Linked DNA regions of Neurospora crassa OR74A. The main gene of each other region encodes a partner of the protein of the gene in region 2 in a complex. Links are inferred from orthologs where the notes say so. Each region holds a gene or a part of one and is shown on either strand. Other genes may lie near its edges.

What was found.
Region 1: arp-3 (region 2) and NCU09572 share a complex: the UniProt entries of both Saccharomyces cerevisiae proteins name them as parts of the arp2/3 complex. The link is inferred for Neurospora crassa OR74A from reciprocal best matches to the Saccharomyces cerevisiae genes ARP3 and ARC18.
Region 3: arp-3 (region 2) and NCU02781 share a complex: the UniProt entries of both Saccharomyces cerevisiae proteins name them as parts of the arp2/3 complex. The link is inferred for Neurospora crassa OR74A from reciprocal best matches to the Saccharomyces cerevisiae genes ARP3 and ARC40.

The regions. Positions count from the first base shown.
Region 1 is NC_026507.1:961,808-968,969, forward strand, and holds NCU09572 (ARP2/3 complex 21 kDa subunit), read left to right. Parts: upstream 1-2,706; 5' UTR 2,707-2,960; coding exon 2,961-2,966; intron 2,967-3,207; coding exon 3,208-3,600; intron 3,601-3,725; coding exon 3,726-3,905; 3' UTR 3,906-4,240; downstream 4,241-7,162. Other genes in the region: NCU09573 (hypothetical protein), read right to left, coding at 1-887, 1,087-1,100; NCU09571 (tRNA (adenine-N(1)-)-methyltransferase non-catalytic subunit trm6), read right to left, coding at 4,506-6,276, 6,357-6,445. UniProt on the Saccharomyces cerevisiae protein: Functions as a component of the Arp2/3 complex which is involved in regulation of actin polymerization and together with an activating nucleation-promoting factor (NPF) mediates the formation of branched actin networks.
Region 2 is NC_026502.1:2,533,374-2,540,994, forward strand, and holds arp-3 (actin), read left to right. Parts: upstream 1-2,653; 5' UTR 2,654-2,845; coding exon 2,846-2,880; intron 2,881-2,963; coding exon 2,964-2,986; intron 2,987-3,053; coding exon 3,054-3,281; intron 3,282-3,330; coding exon 3,331-3,377; intron 3,378-3,434; coding exon 3,435-3,521; intron 3,522-3,583; coding exon 3,584-4,417; intron 4,418-4,473; coding exon 4,474-4,539; 3' UTR 4,540-4,701; downstream 4,702-7,621. Other genes in the region: NCU01757 (asparaginase), read right to left, coding at 1-1,086, 1,158-1,357, 1,412-1,641; adh-1 (alcohol dehydrogenase I), read left to right, coding at 7,149-7,209, 7,277-7,621. UniProt on the Saccharomyces cerevisiae protein: Functions as ATP-binding component of the Arp2/3 complex which is involved in regulation of actin polymerization and together with an activating nucleation-promoting factor (NPF) mediates the formation of branched actin networks.
Region 3 is NC_026501.1:9,214,499-9,221,741, reverse strand, and holds NCU02781 (hypothetical protein), read left to right. Parts: upstream 1-3,433; 5' UTR 3,434-3,657; coding exon 3,658-3,880; intron 3,881-3,963; coding exon 3,964-4,806; intron 4,807-4,873; coding exon 4,874-4,914; 3' UTR 4,915-5,205; downstream 5,206-7,243. Other genes in the region: NCU02779 (hypothetical protein), read left to right, coding at 905-1,267, 1,352-1,585, 1,847-2,026; NCU02780 (U2 small nuclear ribonucleoprotein B), read right to left, coding at 2,205-2,516, 2,581-2,865; NCU02782 (hypothetical protein), read left to right, coding at 5,650-7,243. UniProt on the Saccharomyces cerevisiae protein: Functions as a component of the Arp2/3 complex which is involved in regulation of actin polymerization and together with an activating nucleation-promoting factor (NPF) mediates the formation of branched actin networks.

The DNA.
Region 1 (7,162 bases), on a different chromosome or scaffold from region 2:
CGTCGGCGGGTATCAAATGTTTCGAGCGTAGTGCTTGTAGACCGGCGACAGCGTCATTGGGGTTGAAGGGCGTCTGAATAATCCTAAACAGGTTTTGTCGTATTAAAGCTAGCTGCGACTTGTTGAAGTAGGCTAGAATCGGCATGTTGGGTGTCTGCTGGGGTATTTCAGGCTGCGGCTCCTGCGGGCTGTTGGGTACGTAAAAGGAGTCGTTTGGGACCGTGGGTATTGTTGCGAATGAACTGCCGATGGGTGTCTTCCACAGGCACGGGATGCGCACCGCCTTCCGGAAGACGCGCTGGCCAAAGTAAATGTCAAGCTCGGCGTTCATCTTGGGGTTTGCTAGCCTATCCGGGAAAAAGATGCCCATTGCGTTCTTCATGGCCATGTTTTTGCAAAATACTCGTGTCATGGACGGTTCGTTCCTGATAAGGGTGTGAAGTTGGTCGGTGAGCTGGCGCGCAAGGAGCGAAGGATCGAGCCATTGCCCATGAATAGATTCCGGTACCGGCGTGACAATAGGGGCACCTTCGGTGAACGATGCGCCAAGGAGCGTGGCATGGAGATCTGTCCAGCAAATGGGAAGAACGTAAAGCGATTTGCCAGAATTGTCGTGCATTATGTCGTATATAGAGCCTTCATCGGGGCGGTATACCCGGGGAACCTTTCGTTTCTTTGGGTTGGTCCGTTTCCGGCGCGGCGGCGATGACGTCGATGCATCGGTACTTTGGCTGCTGAAGGCGGGGCTGTGAATTTCGGAGGCTGAGGCCGGGGGTTGTTGTGTAGGGCCCGGCGATGGGCCGGCTATGTCGCGTGAGGCTGACATGGCTACCTCTATCATGGCGCGCAGTTGTCCAAACAAGGTGCCACTGCCAGAAATGAGGGACCTGAAGACAAAAGAAGCCGGGATTGGAGGCGCGCGTCAGCTATGTAGTTCCAGGTTGTTGTAATGTGGATGTAACGTTGGCGCGATGCAGCTATTGCCAGAACGAATGGTCGTCTTGAGAAATAAGAAGTGTTGCCGCGATGATATGATGAAAGAAGAAAAAAGAGCGAAGTCGCAAAATGAAGCGGGACTGGACGTACTCAAATGCGGTCATGAAAGAAGCAAGTGGACGGGAACTATCTCGAAGGGGGGAGAGTGTTCCTGGTCCGTAGGTAGGTAGGTCGTCTTCTTTTGTTGACCTATTCAATGGGCGGAGCGCAGTGCAGTGAGTGGATGCGACAGCTCTGCTAGGGCGGATCGGCAGAGCGTTTTGTGGAGGGAGTGATGCGCGCGTCCACTGCAGTGCACGTTCCCTTTTTCTGGGGTCCCCTTTTTCTGTTGATCCAAGTCAGCCCCACGCACAAAACACAGGTGAAATCACACCAAATTCGCAGCGCCGGTAAAACATGCAAGCAACTCACCTGAAAACGAATGGTGCTTGGAATGATGTTTTGTTTTGGTTTGAGGAATGGAGAAAAGCGATCCAAAACAAGTCGCGCTGGTAACGACTGAGTCACCGTAAAGAGGGGGGAAAAAGCACTAGGATCAAAGTTTGCCTCCTAGTTCAAAAAAGTGGGAGGGGTTTGTCCGGGTTCTTGTGTTTGTCTTTGGGCGTGAAGAAGCGGAGGGCTGGTTTTAATGAACGATTGAAGAAGGCAGTTGTAGGTAGAGGAGAGAACCGTGACGCAGTGAGTGATGTGATGGGACTGGAGAACCCCAAATACCCCTCCATCACCCTTTCTCAGTGGACGGCGCACGACGGCGCTTTTGATTCCGCGTTGGTGCGTACACTACTATCACAGTACCTCTAAGCAGCGTAGTAGCGCTCTCGACTGGTGGTGTGCCTGTCGGGTGTGTGGCAGTCCCCGGCCGGATTTGCGTCGGATGAACAATTGCGCCAACAACAGCCAGCCAAGTCTGGACTGCTGGCTGATTTCATCATCTACGACGCGCTAGCACACGAGCTCCCGTGACTTATTGTCTTGGCATCCCCTCTTGTTTCTTCAATGTTTCTGCTTTCTGAGTCTTCTCCTCTCTCCTTGACGACGGGCCCCCCTGTTGTTCAAACAGGCAGCGGTGGGCGCAGCGCGGCGTTCACGGTGTTGAACTTCGTCCTATCCAACCAACATTCAGGTGTTGGCTCTCTTCCAGGTTGTTGGACTCGACCACGGCGTGAACCTCGGTCAATCTTCTTCCTTGAAAAATTCCGCCATAATGAGTAATGATGGGATGGATCCTTGGAACACCATCTTGAGCATGGAGTCCTGCTCTTTGTCTGGATTCCGAGACACAGCAGCTTAAGTTGCATGGAAAGCGGGCGCTCACGTCGAACGCGGTGGCTGACTACATGACACGTGAAGAGTCTTTGTGTAACTGAATCTTCCTCTGTATACCAATGGAGTGGCATTTTGACTTGTTCACATTCGCTCTCCTCCTTCAGATGATGCATTGTGCAAGACCTTCCGATTCCCCCGGGACTAGGTGGCTCCACTTCAGGCCGCAAAGATCCACTTTATCGGAGTCAAGCGAGCTGCTGCCTGTCCGATGACGAGGCCGGCTCCGGTAACTCTACACGTGATGGGAACCGGGAGTGCTTCATTGACTGTACCAGGCCTCATCCGGAGTCCGGACACAGCCACTGCTGAGCCACAAATTCAAATAGAAAGGTAACGCACAGACCAAGTCCAGCTCTACTGTCACAGAGTCCGTCACAGCGGCACGGTGCAAGCAGCGGTCGTCACCGCCAGCTCGACGTCAGCGCAGGAGAAGCCGCCATCGCCCATCGCTGGCACGCTGCAGGTCCAGGAAGGCCAGCCCAAGTCCAATTGACCCCATCACCCCGCAAGGCTGCGCCATAGAACCCGGACGCGGTCAAGTCAACACGACATCCCAGATTTACCTAACTTCCAACTTGAACACCATTTGCTTAATCTGGTAATAGCTTCATAGAGGGAGCTTGACACCAACCGTCACAATGCCGGTAAGCGCACCCATTCGCAAGCTCCCAACACCCAGCCGCTATGCGTATAGCTTCCCCAAGCTATACCAGCCAGCCAGCCAGCTACCCCTTAATCGTCAGACAAAGCTTCGTCCATGATCGCATCACCACCACCCACAACACCACGAACCGCTTTGCGCCCAATCGCATTTCTTCGCCTCTCGCCTCACCTCACACACAAATTCCCATTCTCAATCTCTCAACTAACGACGCCACTCTCTAGGCCTACAACTCCGTCTTCAACGCCGACCCCTCCCCCCGCCTAATCGGCAACTTCCCTCTCTTCCCGCTTCGCACCAAGATCCGCGGGCCGATCTACCCTCTCCCCTTCCCGGACCCTCCGCTCGCCGCCAACGAGTCGCCCGACCCGGACTCGGAGTCATACGACATTCTGGACGAGACGCTAGCTCTCTTCCGCGCCAACACCTTTTTCCGCAACTTTGAGATCCAGGGCCCCGCCGACCGCCTGCTGGTCTACGGCATCTGGTACATCAGCGACTGTCTGGGCCGCATCAAGCCGCACTATGGCGTTAGGGAGGCGACGAAGGAAGTGAACAATGCGGCGCTGGATGTGAACTTTGCGTTGCCGGGCGATCCTGGGTGGCCTTTGAATCAGGTGAGTTTTTTTGGCGTAAAGGATTTAGGGCGGAGATAGAATACGGTGAATGTGATGGGAGTAGATGTGGCCCGCGGCGGTGAACAAGAAAATGGATGGCAGCTAATAAGTTTGACGCAAAACAGATGTATGAACCCCCCCGCGACCGTCAAGACGCAGAAGTCCTCCGTCAGTACCTGTCGCAGGTCCGGCAGGAACTGGCGCAGAGGTTATTGGCGCGCGTGTACGACGACGAGACCGAGGACAAGCCGAGCAAGTGGTGGTTGAGCTTTACCAAGAGGAAGTTCATGGGCAAGGGACTCTGATGCGATGCCTTCCCTGTTCAGATGGCGTTGCATGGAATCGTTTAGCGCCAAAGTATAATACGTACTCTACACAAATAATATTTCAAGTTTCCTAGAGTGTGAGGGTGTGTTGGGGCGAGCGAGCAAGACTTTCAGTTGTTGTTGTTTTTGCGTGGTCCGGTTCGATCAGGCATAGATCGAGTACACATACACTTGAAACCCGATCATGAGCGACATGGGTTATATCTCCAGTTGACGTTCGATTAGTAGAATTACTGCAGCTCTATTTCGTGCAAATGGTATCTAAGAGCAAACGAGATCTATGCATATCGGTCATGCTGGTTCTCCTAACTGCTACCACTATCAGACTCCTGCTCATTGTTTGCCCGCCTTTCATGGACAAAGCATAATCATTTAAACCCATGGTCGCCTCCACTCCTCCTCGGCTGGTCGAGTCCACCTACTGTAAGCGAGCCTCGAAACGCTCTAACTGTCTTTTCCTTTCTGACTTTCCCTCGACCTCATTGCTTCCGTGGAAACCTCTGTGTGAGATCTTCCGATGCACGGGGAGAGAAGTGGCATCCTTGAACTCCCATAAATAACTCTTTCCGACCAATCCACTCATGCCGAAGCCGGCGTCGAAACGCTCTCCTCCACCTTTCTCCTCTTAAATTTGCCCTTGGCCGCAATCTTGCCCTCCGCTGGCTTCGCTCTCCATCCAGTAAAGATATATCCATCCGCACCACCGCGCTCCGTCATCAACGGATGCGTCCTGCCCGGCAACACCTGCCACCTCCTCGCCCTGCTAGTCTGGATGCTTGTGCCCAGTAACAGCGTGGGGTTGAGAGGGAACTGCTCGCTTCCCTCCCACTTTTCCAGCTCTTCGGCCGTCTTGCCCTGGATCTCCGCCACGTGTCCGCTGTTCCACGCCGTCCTCCTGGCAACGCTGAAGCAATCGGCTAGTGTCGCGAGAGGCTCGAGAGAAGGGGAGTAGATGGCCACGGGGGCGCCGCCGGCCAAGAGGGGAAGGGCGTGCTTGAGGATCGAGATCGGGTCCATGGTGCTGGCGCAGACGAGGCCGGAGAAGTTGCCGGCGCGCGTGCTGTCGACAATGTGGCGAACGCGGGCGTAGCGTCTGCGCTTGCGGTGGAAGTTGCCGCGGCGGCTGGGCTTCCAGGTGCTCAAGGTCTCGGGATCGGCAGTGAGGGGAGGGGTCGAGTACGAGGTGTCGAGTTCGGGCTTGAGGAGCTGCAGCCAGCTGAGCGTGAGAAGGTGGTTCAGTAGCGGGTGCGGCGGGTGTTGTGGGGCGGTGACATCGAAGTTCCAGTAGTTGAGGAATGAAAGGTTCGGTTGGCTGGCGCCGTGAAGGACGGTGATGGTGTTGGTTTGCGAAAAGGGAACGGCGAAATCGGAGTCGCGCGGCTTGTTGTCACGCGGGCGCTTGGGGTGTCGGGGAAGAGTTGTTGTCTCTGATGTTGCTGCTTGCTGTTGTCCGTCAATCATTTCCGTGTCTTTTTGGCTGGTCGTGTCAGATTCCTGTTTTGGTTCCGTCTCTTCCTCGGCCTTTTCTGTGGCTTCCTCCTCTTCCGCCGCTTCCTCGGTCTCGTCATCTTCCTTGTAGAGAACACCCATGCGCTCGGCCATGGCTGCGACTAATAGACCACCGGTATCATCGACAACTAGCCACCTTCCAGCCAGCAAGTCCTCTTGCAAGGGTGCAAGAGCCTCCTCTCCTTGTTCTGTTGTCGCCTTGGGATCCTCCAGGAAGACGTCCGCACCGCCATAGTGAACGTTACCCCAGCAACCGACCAAACCCATCATCTCGGCGCGAATGTCCAAGATCTTGCTAGCATCTCTCTCCTCCAGCTGCCAGTTGGAAAAGGTGGGAACGTCGATGGGCAGGACCTGGAACCTCCTGATGTACTTCTTCGTCTTCAACAGCTTGTACTTGGACAAACTGAAACTAGTCTTCTGGTCGAGAGCAGCATGCGACAAGAGAAGTTTGGCGATGACGTCCTTGCCGGCGTTGGTCCCGTCGCGCTTCAACTCCTCGATTTCCGCTTGTGTCAGCTTCTGGCGGGCGTTCTCGTCGATAACTTCTTGGGTAGACCGCGCAATGACGTTGCCGCTCTCGGCATCGACTAAGCTGAATTCTTCGCCAGCGGCGGTGGCAATGACGGCGTCATTGTTCGAACCAGGACCGGCAGCGGGGTTGGCGCATTCGGCGTCCTCTTCGGCGAAGACATCGGCGTAAAGTTCGGAAGGGGGGACGACTCGGAGGCGGGAAAAGCTTTCTTCGGGAAGCTTGTCTTGGACCTCAAAGGTAAGGTAGTATGGGCGTTCGAGGATTAGGTTGGCGGGGAAGGTGCCGTATTTTCCAAGGGAGATCGATCTGGTGGTGCGATGAAGGCATATCAGCATCTCACCATGTTTTGTTTACTTTGAAGCCGCCATTGTTCTCGGTTGACGTACGTATTAGGAGTGACCTGGATAACTCTGGTAACACCGGAGGGCAGCTTGAGGGCTACCCAGCTGTTGGGCTTAATTACTGAATGGTGCATCTTGAATTGCCTGGTTCGCAATCCTGTTCGTTGCTGGGTTCAAGATTGCAAAAGTGGAATTCCGATTCCCGAAGAGGAATTTCAATTGCCGCCGAGAAAAAAAAAAAAATCGGCGAGAAAAGTCCAGAGCTTAGCGCGTTGCGGGTCCTGCGGGTCCGTTGGAGGCGTGAATGGGTCTCGACCGAGACGACTCCACGCTCAGGCCCAGGGACCTTGATGGATTGGGGGGTGGGACCCACTTTGAACCTCACTGCTCAGGGGGGGTTATGCACTAACAATTACCGCTGAAGCATCAACCATCTACACTGCACAGTAAACAATCACACAATTCCAACTCTCCGTCTGCGTCGACATCTGTGGCTGTCCTTGCCGAATTTGTCATCAACTGTCGATGGGAAGGTGCGTATGACTGCCCACAGGCACAGGAGAGGGCAGTACCTCTAGATTAGGTCATACCCCAGACGAGACTTCGTCCTTTTCCACGAAATCCTTCAATTGACTTCAACACCATCCGAGTCTCGTCGTCTGCTTCTTCCCTGACTCTTCCTACGAACTGAACCATTGCGTCCACCTGTGCCCTCATCAACGCTTCTCGACTTATCCGTTGTGCTGACTGATTGCTACACCACCATCACATCATTGACTCATGTGACTCTCGAGTCGTTCCCCCCGGTTTTATTGTCGAGTTGTTGCCCAGTACCCCTCTTCTTCTTTGAC
Region 2 (7,621 bases):
TTTCAAACAGACGCTCTGCACATTTTGCTGAGGCGATCGAGGTAGCCATGTGCTCACCTGTACCACTGGTGACGGCGGCTACCGATGTGCCTGTGTGGTCGTCAGAATCCTCAGGGATCACGGCCGTTCCGATTCCGACGAGAGCAGCAGGACCGATGCGACCGCGGTGCTTTATGCCGATGCCGCCGGAAGAGGAACCTGCGGCGATGCGCCCCTTTAGGTCTATGGCAATTGCGCCGACGGTGTCGGTTATCAGATCTTCGTCCTCCTTTTGCTTCGGTGCATTCGAAAACATCGGGTCGCTGATCTGGGCGGGCGAAAGTGAGTGTTCCTCCGATTGGTTCTCCATGGTGTTCAGACTCTGGTTGTGGTCTTCCTTTACGCTCACAAACCCATCATGAGTTGACAATGACGGAGATCGTCTCGGGGTTTCCCCAGTAGCCGGGAAATAGCCAATATCTTCACTGTGACTGTGACGTACCACTGCCCTCTTCATGGCGGCTGGGCTTCCAGTACTGGCGCGTGACTGAAAAGCACCTGACACGTAATTCATGGCAGCTCGATCGACTGGCTTGCTTCCGTTGGTGAGACTTCTCTGAGGTGGGCGAGGTATGGCTGAAGGGACACTTCCAAGTGATCCATTTTCACCCAGTAAAGGGGACCCTCTACCATATGGTGAGTCGGGTTGGCCTTCGTTCCATATCCCAGTCAAAATCGCACTCGAGTGGTCCCGTCGCAAAGTCGACGCGTTTAGCGTTTCCGCCGCTTTTTCGTAGTCACTCGGTGTCGGCGACGGGCGATGTGTCTCTAGGTTTCTCAGAGACACTTGTGAGATGTGAGAGGAGTTACTACTTTGAGTAATCTGTCTTGCTTCCGCCTTTTTCAAGTCCTCTTTCCAGCGGAGAAAACGATCCTTTGCGTTCTTGGAAATGAGGTATTCGTTTGGTACGGTAGCCATCCCGTGTTCTTCGGCAAAGTCCCTAGCTCCGAGGCCCACGAGAATATTCGGCGGTACTCTTCGGAGGGAAAGAGGCTGACTACTTTTGTCCAGAATTAACTTGGCAAGCGAGATGGGGTTTTTGATGCCTGCATATGTCAACGAGTGTCAGCATGTCGTTTCTGGCCGCTCATATGTGGCACTGTCGGTTTGGGCGTACCCGAAACAGCGCCACAAGCACCACTCCTCCCCAGATGGTCGACTACAGTTGCGTCACATTCGACAACTCCATCCATGTTGAGATTACTTCCGAAGCCGGCATTCGTAATCTCTTTGTCCTCCAAACACCTGATAGCAGCTTCGACAGCCTCGGGGGCAGAAGCACCGGCTTTCAGAAACCTCATGGCGACACGGGAGGCTCTAGTTACAACCGCATCAGCAAGGGATCACCTGATGACTCTTGACTCAACTTACTCGCTGCATGCTTCCAAGTGAACCTTTTCATTCGTAATGCTATGGTACCCTGCACCTGCGTGGACAAAGATTGCCGCAACTGGCTTCGTCGTACGCTTCCATATCCTTTCGACACCACCGTCCAATCCGTATTCATGATCACCAGACCAGTTTGACTCTGAGGAGCTGTCCGACATGTCCATATCTGATTCAGGTGACCCATGGCCGGGCTCGGCATTTTTGCTGCTCATCGTGGGCGCAGCTGTGATAGAACGACTCGAGGAGATAGTCGAAGCAGCGTGTGATCTGGCGAGGTCGAGTTGTCTGGTAATCGAGCATGTGTCTTTCAAGCGAGTCTGTATTCTGAGGGCACATAGAGTCCTTAGTTTTGGTGTGTCATGGGTGACTTTTGTGCCTTGGGACAAAGATGGGCGAAAAGACTTATCGAGGCAAGGGCGAAGAGTTGGAGAAGATCGGAACGGGTGGATGAGATGAAAAGGGTGGTCGGACTTGGTGTCCCTCGTAAAAGCAACCTGCTAAAACAATGAATGGGAATAATGCTCGGTAGTGATAATGTCTTGAGGGGTATTTGAGATTGGAGCGATGCCCAATGAGCTAGATGATGCACTCAGGGTGGCCCGAGGGGTGAAGAGTCCCTTTGGATACAGTAGGTGGGCGGGATGAAGATGTGTGAAGGCAAAGGTGGCAAAATACAGAATACGACAGAGAGAGAGAGACGGAGAGAGAGACGAAACGGAATGTGGACACTGGACAGGTTGATGATTCGTTGTGATAAGTGAGAAGCTGTGAGTGTGTGTAGCTTCTCCGCAAAGTGGACTTGCTTCGAGAGGATGAAGCTGAAATGAATCCGACAGAAATGGCAGGTGTGAGGGAATCTGGCTGGAGGTGATTTTCCATTCAGTATCTCCTTCCTTCTTAGAAGGACACATCCTGTCTGGCTGGCCTTGTCGCTACAGTTTTGATACCGATCGGCCCCACTTTTTCCTAGCCATCATCGTCCGGGCCCGGGCCGTGTGCTTCAAACTCCGATGCTTGGGACCGGGGCATCGGTTAGGTTTCGGGGGGCTCGGATGGCGCGCAGGTGGCAGCGAGGTGTTTGGTTCCGTCATCTCCAGTTATGGCGTAGGTCCCGTCGCTGGAAATGCACAACTGACTAAATGGACCGCCGTACCATACGGGGACCTCGCGGTCTTGGCGCACAGCCGCACAGGTACCTCCACAGTACCACGCAGCGCTGTCAGCCAGACGAGTAAGGAGAGCTAGCTCGGCCAGGCACGTACAATCTTGGACATCAACCTCCATTTCCCGCCTGGCCTATCCACTACCCATCCACGCTCCCGCCCCGTCACTTCATCCATCACCAACTAACAACAGCCGTTGCTTTACCAAACCGCAATCATCACGAGCTGCGCGTAGCAGCACACCACCGCAACAATGGCCAACACAACCCCCGCCGTTGTCATGGACAAGTACGTGCATCCAAGTGTCCCGTCTCCACCCCGCCCGCTCCTTAACAGCTCCGGGGCCGTCATCGCTAACATCCCCTAACCAGCGGCACGGGGTTCTCCAAGCTAGGTTCGCGACTCCGACACCCCAAGATATCCAATGACCACCGATTGACCAAGCTCTTCGTCGTCTGCAGGTTTCGCCGGCAATGATTCCCCCTCGTTCGTATTCCCGACGGCCATCGCGACCAAAAGCCCCTCGGCAGGCACCGGCGGCTCGGGCTCTGGCCGCCCCGCCGTAGCCAACAAGCCATCCTTCCTCACCGGCGGCGCGGGTCCAGGTGGCCATCTCTCAGCAAAGCGCGGAACCGAAGACCTCGACTACTTTATCGGCGACGAGGCCGTAGCGGCCGCCAATGGACCTGGTACGTTGGTCTACACCGCCTCAACGGAAATGGGTGCTGACGGTGTTAGGCTACGGGTTGCACTATCCCATCAGACACGGACAGATCGAGAACTGGGTGCGTTCAGGCTGCTAGATGGCATGTCACAAATGCCTAGAGCTAACTGGAGCTTAGGATCACATGGAAAGGTTCTGGTCCAACTCCATCTTCAAGTATCTGAGAGTAGAGCCTGAGGACCACCACTTCCTCCTCACTGAGCCCGTAAGACTACACTTTCCAAGCCACATCAGTACTACGTCTGCAGCACTGACACGTCGATTCAGCCTCTCAACCCTCCCGAGAACCGCGAAAACACCGCCGAGATCTTCTTCGAATCCTTCAACTGCGCCGGTCTCTACATTGCCGTCCAGGCCGTTCTGGCCCTTGCGGCTTCCTGGACATCATCCAAGGTCCAGGACAGATCCTTGACCGGTACTGTCATTGATTCGGGTGATGGTGTGACACACGTTATCCCGGTCGCCGAAGGTTACGTTATCGGCTCGTCCATCAAGTCGATCCCTATTGCCGGTCGCGATATCACCTACTTTGTCCAGTCGCTTCTCCGTGACCGCGGCGAGCCCGATTCGTCCCTCAAGACGGCCCAGGAGATCAAGGAGGAGTACTGCTACGTCTGTCCGGATATTGTCAAGGAGTTTGCCAAGTACGACCGCGATCGCAGCCGATTCCTGAAGCACACCATTACCCAGCCCGGTGGCCGCCAAGTTACGGTTGATGTTGGCTACGAGCGTTTCATGGCGCCCGAAATCTTCTTCAACCCCGAGATTTACTCGTCCGATTTCCTTACGCCCCTGCCCGTGGTTGTTGATGGTGTCATTCAGTCTTCGCCCATCGATGTCCGTCGTGGTCTCTACAAGAACATTGTTCTTTCGGGTGGCAGCACGCTCTACAAGGACTTTGGTCGCAGGCTACAGCGCGATATCAAGCAGCTTGTCGATACGCGAATCAAGGCCAGCGAGGTGCGCAGCGGTGGAGCAAAGAGCGGTGGTCTTGATGTCCAGGTTATCACCCACAAAAGGCAACGGCACGGCCCGTGGTTTGGTGGTAGCTTGCTCGGTCAGACGCCCGAGTTCCGGTCGTACTGCCACACCAAGGCAGAGGTATGTTTCTTTACCCTTTTACCATTGGCAGTCTGGTTGCTGACGGATCTTTACAGTACCAAGAATATGGACCCAGCATCGTGCGCAGGTTCGCTCTGCTCGGAGGACCTGGTGGATCTTAAGCGTAGTTATTTGTGTACAGGAGCGAGTCCGCATCTTATTTGGCAGGCAGCGGGCGCCGATGCTTATATAATGGCGATGAATAGAAAAGAGGAACTACTTAATGCTAGTGAAGTTGGGTCAGCGTAGACGGCCAATGTGTCTGTTGTTGTGTTGATGTTTAGGAATCCGTTGCGCAGAGCAACGGTCCCCTTAAAAGGGGGGCTTAATGGTACCGATCGGCTGGTTCCGGAGGCGGCGTGCCAAGCCATTGACGGCATTCACTGTAACTCTCGGTAAGCAAGGATGTGTCAGCACCACGACCACCGGTTCGCGCCGGGTGGCCTGATATGGCCCGACAGTTCTGGAACTGGCCGAACTCCCATCGGGCAAGCTAACCGATAGCTTCGCATCAGTTTCACAACTTGCTGATTTTTCTCTTCATTTTTTCAATGTTGTTCCTATTCTCAGCCCATTGATTAGATTCTAATCAGGACTGGGCTCGATTGTCATGTTGAAAGATGTTGCCTGACATGCTCGGACGTCACCTCACAGTAAACCGACCGTGTTCCCAGAGAGCATTCACAGTTTGGAGGGTTCAGTGATCAGATTGCTTACTTTGCGCCGGGCAAGGAGCAAAAGGTTATGCAACTTTCTGCATGCCTTCATAGAGGTCGGTACCATAGGTATGGGTAGGTAGGGTAGGTAGTACGACAAGAATGCGGGGAAGAAGCTTCGTCGCTGAAACCAGGGGTTCCAGACCGTCCTTTGGTGGCTTACAAGCCAAGCCTCCTCGTCACCTGCACCGGCTAAGTTTGCTGTTTTGAGGCTTCTTCGCTCGAGCGGAAGTTGACTTTTATTTTTTCCTTTTGTTTTCCTTCGTGTTTGCTGGAAACGATAATTGATCCATACTATTTCCATCAGCCTCCGTTTCAGCTTTACCACCAACCCAACCAGCGTTGACAAAGGCGCGGGGAAAGGGTGAGCCACGACGTCCACGAGATCTTCGACGAGGAGGTGGAGGAGGAGGAGAAGGAGGAGGAGTGGTTGGCACAGGTTTCAATGTGTAGCGTATGTAGTGGTGGGTTCGAGACAGTGGCTTCCACTTCGGTGGAGCGGAAAGTCGTTTATGTATAGGTACGCAGTACACTACACCACACTAGAAAGTGTGGGGGTGGAACATGACGGCGGGGTCTCGGATCGGACCCGCGCGCTGTCAACGACTTTAGTTAGTTTAGGCAAACACCGTATCCAAGACTGTACTCGGATCCAAGGTGCCGACCACCGGGTGTTTGGTTCTGCGACAAACAGTGAGGTTGATGAGAAAGTTCCCACAAAAATAAGCAGGGACGGTGAGATTTCGGCCGCTCCATAATGACTGGCAAAAGCGTCTCATAAACCACGAGATGGGACCAGAACCTCAGGTGCTTCACGGCATTGTTGACATGATGAGCGGGAAAAGGGCCGTTTCCATGTGGCGCCTCACGAGAACAACCTAACGATGGTCCGGGCGACACTAGCCGGGCTCCGCTGAGGCTGGATAGGGCGGGCTGTCCCCCAACGGGCACCCCCGCTGTCATCACTCGACTCAGCGCTCCCGCCAGTTCCACACTCACTGAAGCTAACATAGGTCTCATCCCAGCCTCCATCTCTTCAGTTACATCACTCGTGCCCAAGTTGGGACGATCGCGCTCGACATGCGCCAAGAGCCCACGATTTCCCCCAGTCCTCCTTTTAGCTTTCTCCTCTTTTGCACATCAACACCGGGGGACCTTCACTATGCTAATAGCTTAGTGCATGATCAGCTTCATCTAACAAGAGCTCGTGACCTTGTTTGCTTCCAACTGTTGGCGTCCGAGTGCCAGCTCCCCCGCATTTTGTATGTACAGTTGACAGAAGCGGAGATCTCCCCTCTTGGCTTCTCAATTTCTCTCTAAACCTTCGGAAACCTTGAACCGGCCGATGCAGCAACTCCATTGAAGCTTCCCTTGGATCAATCAAGCTGCTGACGGGGACTGGATGGGGGGGCTTGAGAGGGGTATCCACCGGGCTGATGGAAAAGGGCAGACAATGGGCGATTGGCCAGTGGGAGCTCCCCGTACCGTCACATCCTCTACGTCCCGCCTCGCCCATCGACATCATACGTTTTCTCTCGTCCATCTACACACACCAAGACTCTAACCCTCCAGTTGAGGGTCTCGGCCCCTGCCTCGCCAGACGTCCGACTTGTCTTCCCACCGAGCCACCACTAGCCTCGCCGGGTCTGTAGAGACGTGCAGATCTCGGCCTCCCTTCCTCCTGTGGTCATCATGCCTTTGCAGTCTCGTGTTTTCTTTGGTTCGCTGTCCACCATGACGCCTGCCTGCCTTGCTTGGGTCATCCATTCCCTCCCCCTCTTTGCCAACGGTTGCCGATCGGTCGGACCTGTTGCTATCCCCTGACCGGGGAAGGGCGATGGGGGACGGAAAGAGTATAAGAGGTCATGGCTGCCGCAGCTCTTCTCGGGCTTACATCACTTGTTGTACCTCATAGACTTCCATCATATACACAGAGCTTCCTCAGTCTCTTATAGAAAGAGACTATTGTCTTCAGTTTACTTCCATCAACTTCACTACACCAACACACCTTCACAATGCCTCAGTTCGAGATTCCAGAACAGCAATGGGCCCAGGTGGTCGAGAAGAAGGGCGGTCGTAAGTCCAACACCCCTTTGTCCTTACTAGTGGCACCTGTGACCCGTATTCTGACTTTCCTTTTCAGCCGTCGTCTTCAAGCAGATCCCCGTTCAGAAGCCCGGCCCCGATGAGGTCCTTATCAACGTCAAGTACTCTGGCGTCTGCCATACCGATCTCCATGCCATGAAGGGTGACTGGCCCCTCGCTACCAAGATGCCTCTGGTCGGCGGCCACGAAGGCGCCGGTGTCGTCGTAGCCAAGGGTGAGCTCGTTACTGAGGTTGAGGTTGGCGACCACGCCGGTATCAAGTGGCTCAACGGCTCCTGCCTGGCCTGCTCATTCTGCATGCAGGCCGACGAGCCTCTGTGCCCTCACGCCCTCCTGTCCGGCTACACTGTCGACGGTTCCTTCCAGCAATACGCTATCGCCA
Region 3 (7,243 bases), on a different chromosome or scaffold from region 2:
TCTCAAATTAAAGGCCCTTCTTGGATTTCCCCCCAACTTTGTATTTCCCAAATTTGAGCGGTCAAGCTGCACAAGGAAGGAGAACTGCGGCGTGGACCTGGCATGGAGCTGTGCTTCCATCCCTTCGTTCCATCACATCCGGCCGCTCTTACTTCCACTTCTGGAAGTGCCTGACATGTGTTTGCACATGTGTACCTACCTACCTACATAGGGGTTGTATATTTATAACCTGCCAACGGTCAGATGTACGTACACCAGCCGGATGCAGAAGTTGTGGTGATTGCTTTCATATTAGCCCCGAGATAACGAGAATCATGCAAGAAACCAAGAACCTTGCTGACCTCTTACACTAACTACGCAGTACACAGTACAAGTACACGACGCCAAAAAGGACAGCTTGAGCTTGGACGCGTCAAGTTCCCTTGCGACAGTTGTGGGGCCCCGCTGTTTGTACAAGTCTTACAGGGGGCCAGATTCGCCAGGGTTACGAGTGTGGTGATCTGTCAGGGTTGGGTCTGTCATTAATTACTCCCGGCGGTCTCGCAAACTTCCATCTCTAGGTAATGGTTGGCGTTTATGTATTGAGGTATTGTGGAATGCATGGAGGGTATATTTTTCATGCATATGATCATAAATGAAGAACATGTGAACAACCACAATACCTCTAACTTTGAGTTACGACCCCTTCCTTATCTTATCACCCTCTCCCGTCCGTCTCGTCCCGCTCACTAACACCGTCCCGCCCGGCCGTGACAATCCAGTTCCACATGCGGTAACATCGATATGTATGTCCCAATTTCTCCCCCATCCCATCCTTCACCACTGCACCACTCAGCAGACCGCCCACCGTCTCACCATATCACAACCACACACCTCACCATTACCGAAAACACTCTTGATCAAAATGTACTCCCTGGAAATCCAAAACTACCCCCACCTCACCCCCTCCGAGTTCGCCGAGGCCGCCCACCACCTCGACCGGCGCTACAGCCAAGCGACCCTCGGCCCGCTCCGGCGCCAATGGAAGCTGCGCGTGCGCTCGGCGCTCAACACCCACTTTGTCTCTCCTTCGGATCCCGAATACAGCACTTTTATCCAAATCACGAGACCGCTCGAGGTCAATCTGGATGATGATGGCTTATCCGAGTTTTTGGATAATTTGTGTTTTTCTGAGGGGCCAGCAGCGGTAAGGGGGGATGAGCGGGAGGGGGAGGGTGTGGTTGGTGTGAGTGAGGGGATGGAGGTTGAGGATGATGATGATGATGAGGTATGTTTTCTTAATAAAAACAGTGGGTTGAAGGGGGGGTGGGTGTGGAATGCTGATAATATGTGGTTTACTGGGGGAGAAAAGGCCATGGTTTTGCCTTCTAAACATCAACAACAGCAAAAGACAAGTTATGGCTACGTCACATACGAAATACACCTTCACCCGACATATCAAGCGCCTTGTCTGTGGTTTTCACTAAACGGACTGCCGGCGGATGAACCAGCCTTCAACATCGACACCGTCTTTCGACGTCTTGTACCCGATCAGTTCAAAGATGGACTTCGCCGCGCGGGTTCCGTGGGTGGTATCTCAGCTGATGTAAGTTTTCTCTTCTCTTCTCTTCTCATCTCATCTCGTTCTTTGTATTTGTGTCTTGCGATTTGGGTGGGTTCAATCTTCTCGCTGTTGAAACACCAAAAAGTTAACTAGGGCTGAACTCCTTTTTCTCGCTCTTTGTGACTTTGTTGTGAAACATAAAGATATGAGAAGGACAAAAAGAGAGAGAAAGAGAAAAAAAAAAGGTGCCTATACTAACACACGAATGTCCCTTCTTTTGAATTATTTCGGCCATACAAACAGTATCATCCCATCACAGGCCTTCCCACCTTCTTCGTCCACCCTTGTCTCCTCGGCGAGGCCATGTCGACCTTTGACAATGTCTCGATCGAGAACTACCTGATGGTTTGGCTTGGACTCGTCGGCGGCTGTGTCAGCCTTTGGGTCCCCAAGGAAATGGCCTTGGAGCCTTCCTCCGCCTAGAGGAAGTGGGAGTAGCGCGGTGTATGTTGTACATGCAGCTAGCGGTGCGTCTTCTGCATTGTCCTTCGAGAGGGCGAATTTTTCATCCATCCGCTTCATTGCGCCTTCATTTTTCGTCATCCTTCCCCACCGCGAGCTGGTATCTTAAACAAGAAGCAAATGCCATAGTGGACACCCATCAGTCCTCGTCGCTGTCTTCCTCCATAGCAACGTCCGAATCGCTCTCCTCCTCTTCTTCCTCCTCCTCCCGTGGCCGCTTCGTTCCCCGGTTCTCCTCTGCCGGTGTGGTTGTCTCCGTCCCGGGAGGCTTGGCTGGCGAACCTTGTGGTGCTGGACTCTCGGTATTCGTAGTAGGGGCGCCTGGTACTGGGGCACTAAAGATACTCTGTTGGACGGTGGTGAGGGCCACGGCGGCGGCGGCCTTGGGTGGCACGAGAGTACCGTCGAGTTTGGCGATGATGTTGGAGCGGCCCTTGGCGTAGGTGATTTTCTAGGCAAACCCAAGTTAGCATGTGAAGGGCTACCGCTGAAATATTCAACCCGAGAAGACCTACCATTTTGCGGCCCAAAAACTCCATGCCGTCAAGTGACCTCATGGCCTGTGTTGCTGTCTGAATGTCCCGGTAGACAATGTGTGCTTGCCCGCGCATCTTCATGGTCTTGAGAGCGACGACATCGAGGACGGGGCCGTAGGTGGAGAAGAGCATGTATAGTGCTGTACGGAGGTCGTCCTTCTGGATCTTAGCTGAGGGGAGGTTCGTGACGTAGAGAGTCTGGTTTGGCGGGTTCGAGACCACCTTTTGGGGGAGGCCCGCGGGGGGAGCAATACGCGTAGCCATTGCCGCGTAGGAATCCGGGAGTTGATGCTGTTGTTGTTTGTCCAATGCAGGTTGTTAATTGTCGCGTAGATTTTCAGTATATCGTAGGCGCCTCGTGGTAGGGGTTAATATCGTCAATTGTCTCGTCGTCGTCGTCGTCGTCGCTCGGGTGTATGATGTTCAGTGTTCAATCATGAATTCAAGTCGCGGCGGCGCATGCGATGTCGACAATTCAGATGCTGGTCCAAAAATTGGAGACAGTGGCCAGCCAGCCTACGAACCATCGAAATCGGTACACAAACCCCACGGGCGTGGGTGCAGCTTGTTGGAGGTACTGCGGTTGCGAGCAAAAGTAAAACCCCCTTGTCAGGTATCTTGCACGGACCACCACAGCCAGAGCTTCGTGAGCACTGTGTGGTCGACGACCTGATCCACGGGTTTAACTTACCCATCTCACCATAGTAGGTTCCAGTTCCAGGTGGGTCAGCCCCGGCCGGCAGCAGGGCACTCTTGGCGGCGTCACCCACCCGCAGCCAACCCCACCACCATACGCTGCCGCAACGGTGCCCCTGGAGCCTGGCGGTCTGACCTCATTTCAGGCGTCCAGCCCGCTGTAGTTACGGAGCTCTCCCGCTTCCCGTTCCCGGGCACAGCTTCCCCTTTCCAATTACAACATCCGGCTCCGACACCACCGAACCAAGACATTCGATCACACTCTCCGTCATCACCGTCCCCGATTCCGAGCGCGGTAGTAGAGAGCTATACTCCTATCGCATACCTTATTTCTACACAACACCAACCTAACAACCCACAATGGCTGCTCCCGAGGTCCACCATCTCTTCCACCACCCCATCGCCGACCACTCCTTCTCGGCCGATCGCCAGACCTTGGCCATTGCCCGCGACACCCAGGTCGAGCTCTACGGCAGAGTCGGCAATGCCTTCAAGCTCAAGGATGAGCTCAAGGGCCATGACAAGCTTGTCACCAGCGTCGACATTGCTCCCAACACCGGGCGTATTGTGACCTGCTCTCAGGGTAGGCCCCCCCTTTCGCAACCCAGGCACCCCATAATGCCACCATCACAGTCAGCTAGACTAACAACCAACCCCAACTCACAGACCGCAACGCCCTCGTCTGGGAACCCTCCCCCACCGGCTACAAGCCCACCCTCGTGCTCCTCCGTATTTCCCGCGCCGCCACCTTCGTCCGCTGGTCTCCCTCGGAAGCCAAGTTCGCCGTCGGCTCCGGCGACCGCGTCATCGCCATCTGCTACTTTGAGGAGGAAAACGACTGGTGGGTATCCAAGCACCTGAAGAAGCCGATCCGATCCACCATCACCTCTGTCGCCTGGCACCCCAACAGCGTTCTTCTTGCTGCCGGCTCCACCGACGCCCACGCCCGCGTCTTTTCCGCCTTCATCAAGGGCACCGACCAGCGCCCCGAGCCGAGCCCCTGGGGCGAGAGATTGCCTTTCAACACGGTCTGCGGCGAGTTCCTGAACAACTCTGCCGGATGGGTGCATTCTGTTGCCTTCAGCCCGAGCGGCGACGCTCTGGCGTTTGCGGCGCATGACTCCTCCATCACCGTCGTCTACCCCTCTGCGCCCGAGCAGCCGCCCAAGGCGGTGATCAGCATCAACACGCAGCTTTTGCCCTTTATGAGCCTCTTCTGGAACGGAGAGACTGAGATCATTGCTGCGGGTTACGATTGCGAGGCTTTCCGCTTCCAAGGCGGCGAGCAGGGGTGGCAGCTGGCCGGCACGCTGGAGAAGGCCAAGGCCGGAGGAAGACCGGGTCTTGGTGACGAGGACAGAGAGGAGTCTGCGCTGAACATGTTCAAGCAGATGGACCTGAAGGGTAAGGTCAGCAAGGATGATACCATGTTGAAGACGGTGCATCAGAATACGGTTACTATGTTGAGGCCCTTTGAGGAGAGTGGTGGACGGGTGACCAAGTTTAGTTGTGAGTGTTCCCCATTTTTACATGACCTGTGGTTTCAAGAATTATTGATGCTAACTTGACACAACAGCGAGCGGTGTTGACGGCAGAGTCGTCATCTGGCACACCTAGATTTCCCCTCGATGAAAGAGGGTTGCTGCACACATTGGGAAGCAGAAAAGCCAAGCAAGCAAGCGTAACATCTAATGTTAATGGAACAAGAGTGAATGGCTGATAATGAATCAGATTCAAAGTCAAGATCCATCAATGTCAGTTTAGCGGGTAACTTTCCCGGTCTTTGATTTCTGCCCTATCCGTGCTTCCCGGTATCCGCCAAAGTGATTGATTGTCCATTCACCCATTGTACAGAGACTTATCATGTCACTTCTCCACAGTGAGCTATCCGTTTGTCATGACCGCCCGGCCAATTTTGCAAGATATGTATGTGTGAATCAGACACACAGTCAAGAACAAATACAGGTTCAATACATACAAAGCAATTCATTGACTTCCGCTTGTGGCTTGCCGGACACATTCCGATTTGCCGTGATAACTTCCATAAAAGGATCATAAGAGAACTAATAACCGGCAGCAGGAGAAGTGCATGTCACAATTCATGTCCATACCTACCATTGTTTTGTCCCTGTCGATTATTTATTCCATATCCTTTCGCTCCTCATCCAGACCTTCAGCTTCAAAAGCAGTTTACCATAAGTAATCAGCCGTCCGTCACTCCGTCCCTTTCAGCTATCCAAACAAACTCAACTTACCTCGCTTTGCCTCCATCTTCCCTGCCTGCCTACTTCGTTGTCTGGTTAGAAGAAGAAACAGCGGGATCAGAAGAACCAAACAACAACAAACTGAACCATGGACCACAACAGTTCCTACGACTACTACCCATTCAACCACCCCCAACACCCTCTGTACTTTAACCCCGTATCTCCTGTTCATGTTCCTCCTCCTCCTCCTCCTCCTCCTGGTCATCCAGAACCAGAGGAACAAAAAGACTACCACCACTACGCTCCCGCATCACCAAGCGACTTTATTTACAACGCCAACTCCTCTGTCAACACCACCACCGCCGCTAGCATCCTTCATCATCATCATCATCGGCATCCTTCCCGCTCTTCTCGATCTTTATTCTCCAACGAGCCAGTACTCGCCTATCCACCTCGGACAGTGGGGTCTAGGTCTGTTGAGCAATCATTTTCGAATTACTTACCTGGGGTACTGGAACCAAGTCTACCACGACCAGCACCAGGTTTCGAGGAGCATCGACGCCAGCGGCAATCAACGATGATGACCATGGGGCCGGGACCAAGTAAATCGGTACCTTCTCCACTGTCACTGCCCCTCAGTAGGGAAGGAGGAAGAAGTGGTAGGAGGAGGATGAGCGGGTTCAGTTCCGGTGAGGAGACAGTGGTGGTGATTAAGCGGGAGGAGGAGGAGGAGGAGTCGGTTCCTTGGGTGTCGATACCGTTAGAGCAGAGGGTGAAGAGGTGGGTGCCGCGGGTGCCACAGGGAGAACAGGGAGAACAGATGAAGCAGGTGGAAGAAGATGCGGTGGGAGGTGTGGTGGGAGGTGTGGTGGGATACGTGCCCCTAGGGACGGAGGAGAGTGGGGTCAGTGGTAGTAAGACTTGGGAGGAAAGGGGGGAAGGGGTGGTAATGGAGAGGGTTATGATGGTGCCGTCGGTGGTGTCTAGCGTTGGTGCCAATGCCGGTGTGGAAATGGTGGCAGGGATGATGGGTACGGCGATGGGAATGGGAATGGAACCAACAATAACGCCAAAGATGGGCCTGTTCAAACCCATCAGGTGGGATGGACCGTCTTCTGCTTCGAGGGCTAAGGCTAAGGCAAGGAGGGTACGTGCCTGGGAAACCATGGAAGAACAACATGGTGATGTTCATCTTCGACGGACTCCTCCTGGAATTCAGAATCGAAGCAGCAACAGAGACCGAAACGACGAAACCGAAGACGAAAAAGTTTCCGACGCCCCCATCTCTCCCCATTCTCGCTCCCCAAAGAGATTCAAGACCTCCTCCTCCCATTCAGGATACATCCTTCGTCCAGGTCCATGTCCAGCAGAAACAAAAACAGACACAGAAATAAAGCAAGAACCAAGCCTCTCACCTCCACCATCCGCCGTTTTGGCTCAGATTCCCATGTTTGATTCCTTCGATTCCCTTCCACGCAACAACAGTGGCTATGAATCCTCCGGTCATGACGACAATTCCCTTTCTTTGCGAAGTATCAGCCCTTTGACTCGGGTCCCGACACCTCATCGTGTGCTGTTCACTACTACTACTACTCCGAACCGGATCATGACTGGAACTGGAACCAGAGAAACGACCCAGCCTTCATTGAGGGCGGTGAGTAAGCAGCTGAAGAAGAGGAATCGGGAGATGGCGCTGGGTCAAGGTCACGGGCGGGAGGATAATCGAGAACGGAGTCGTGAAC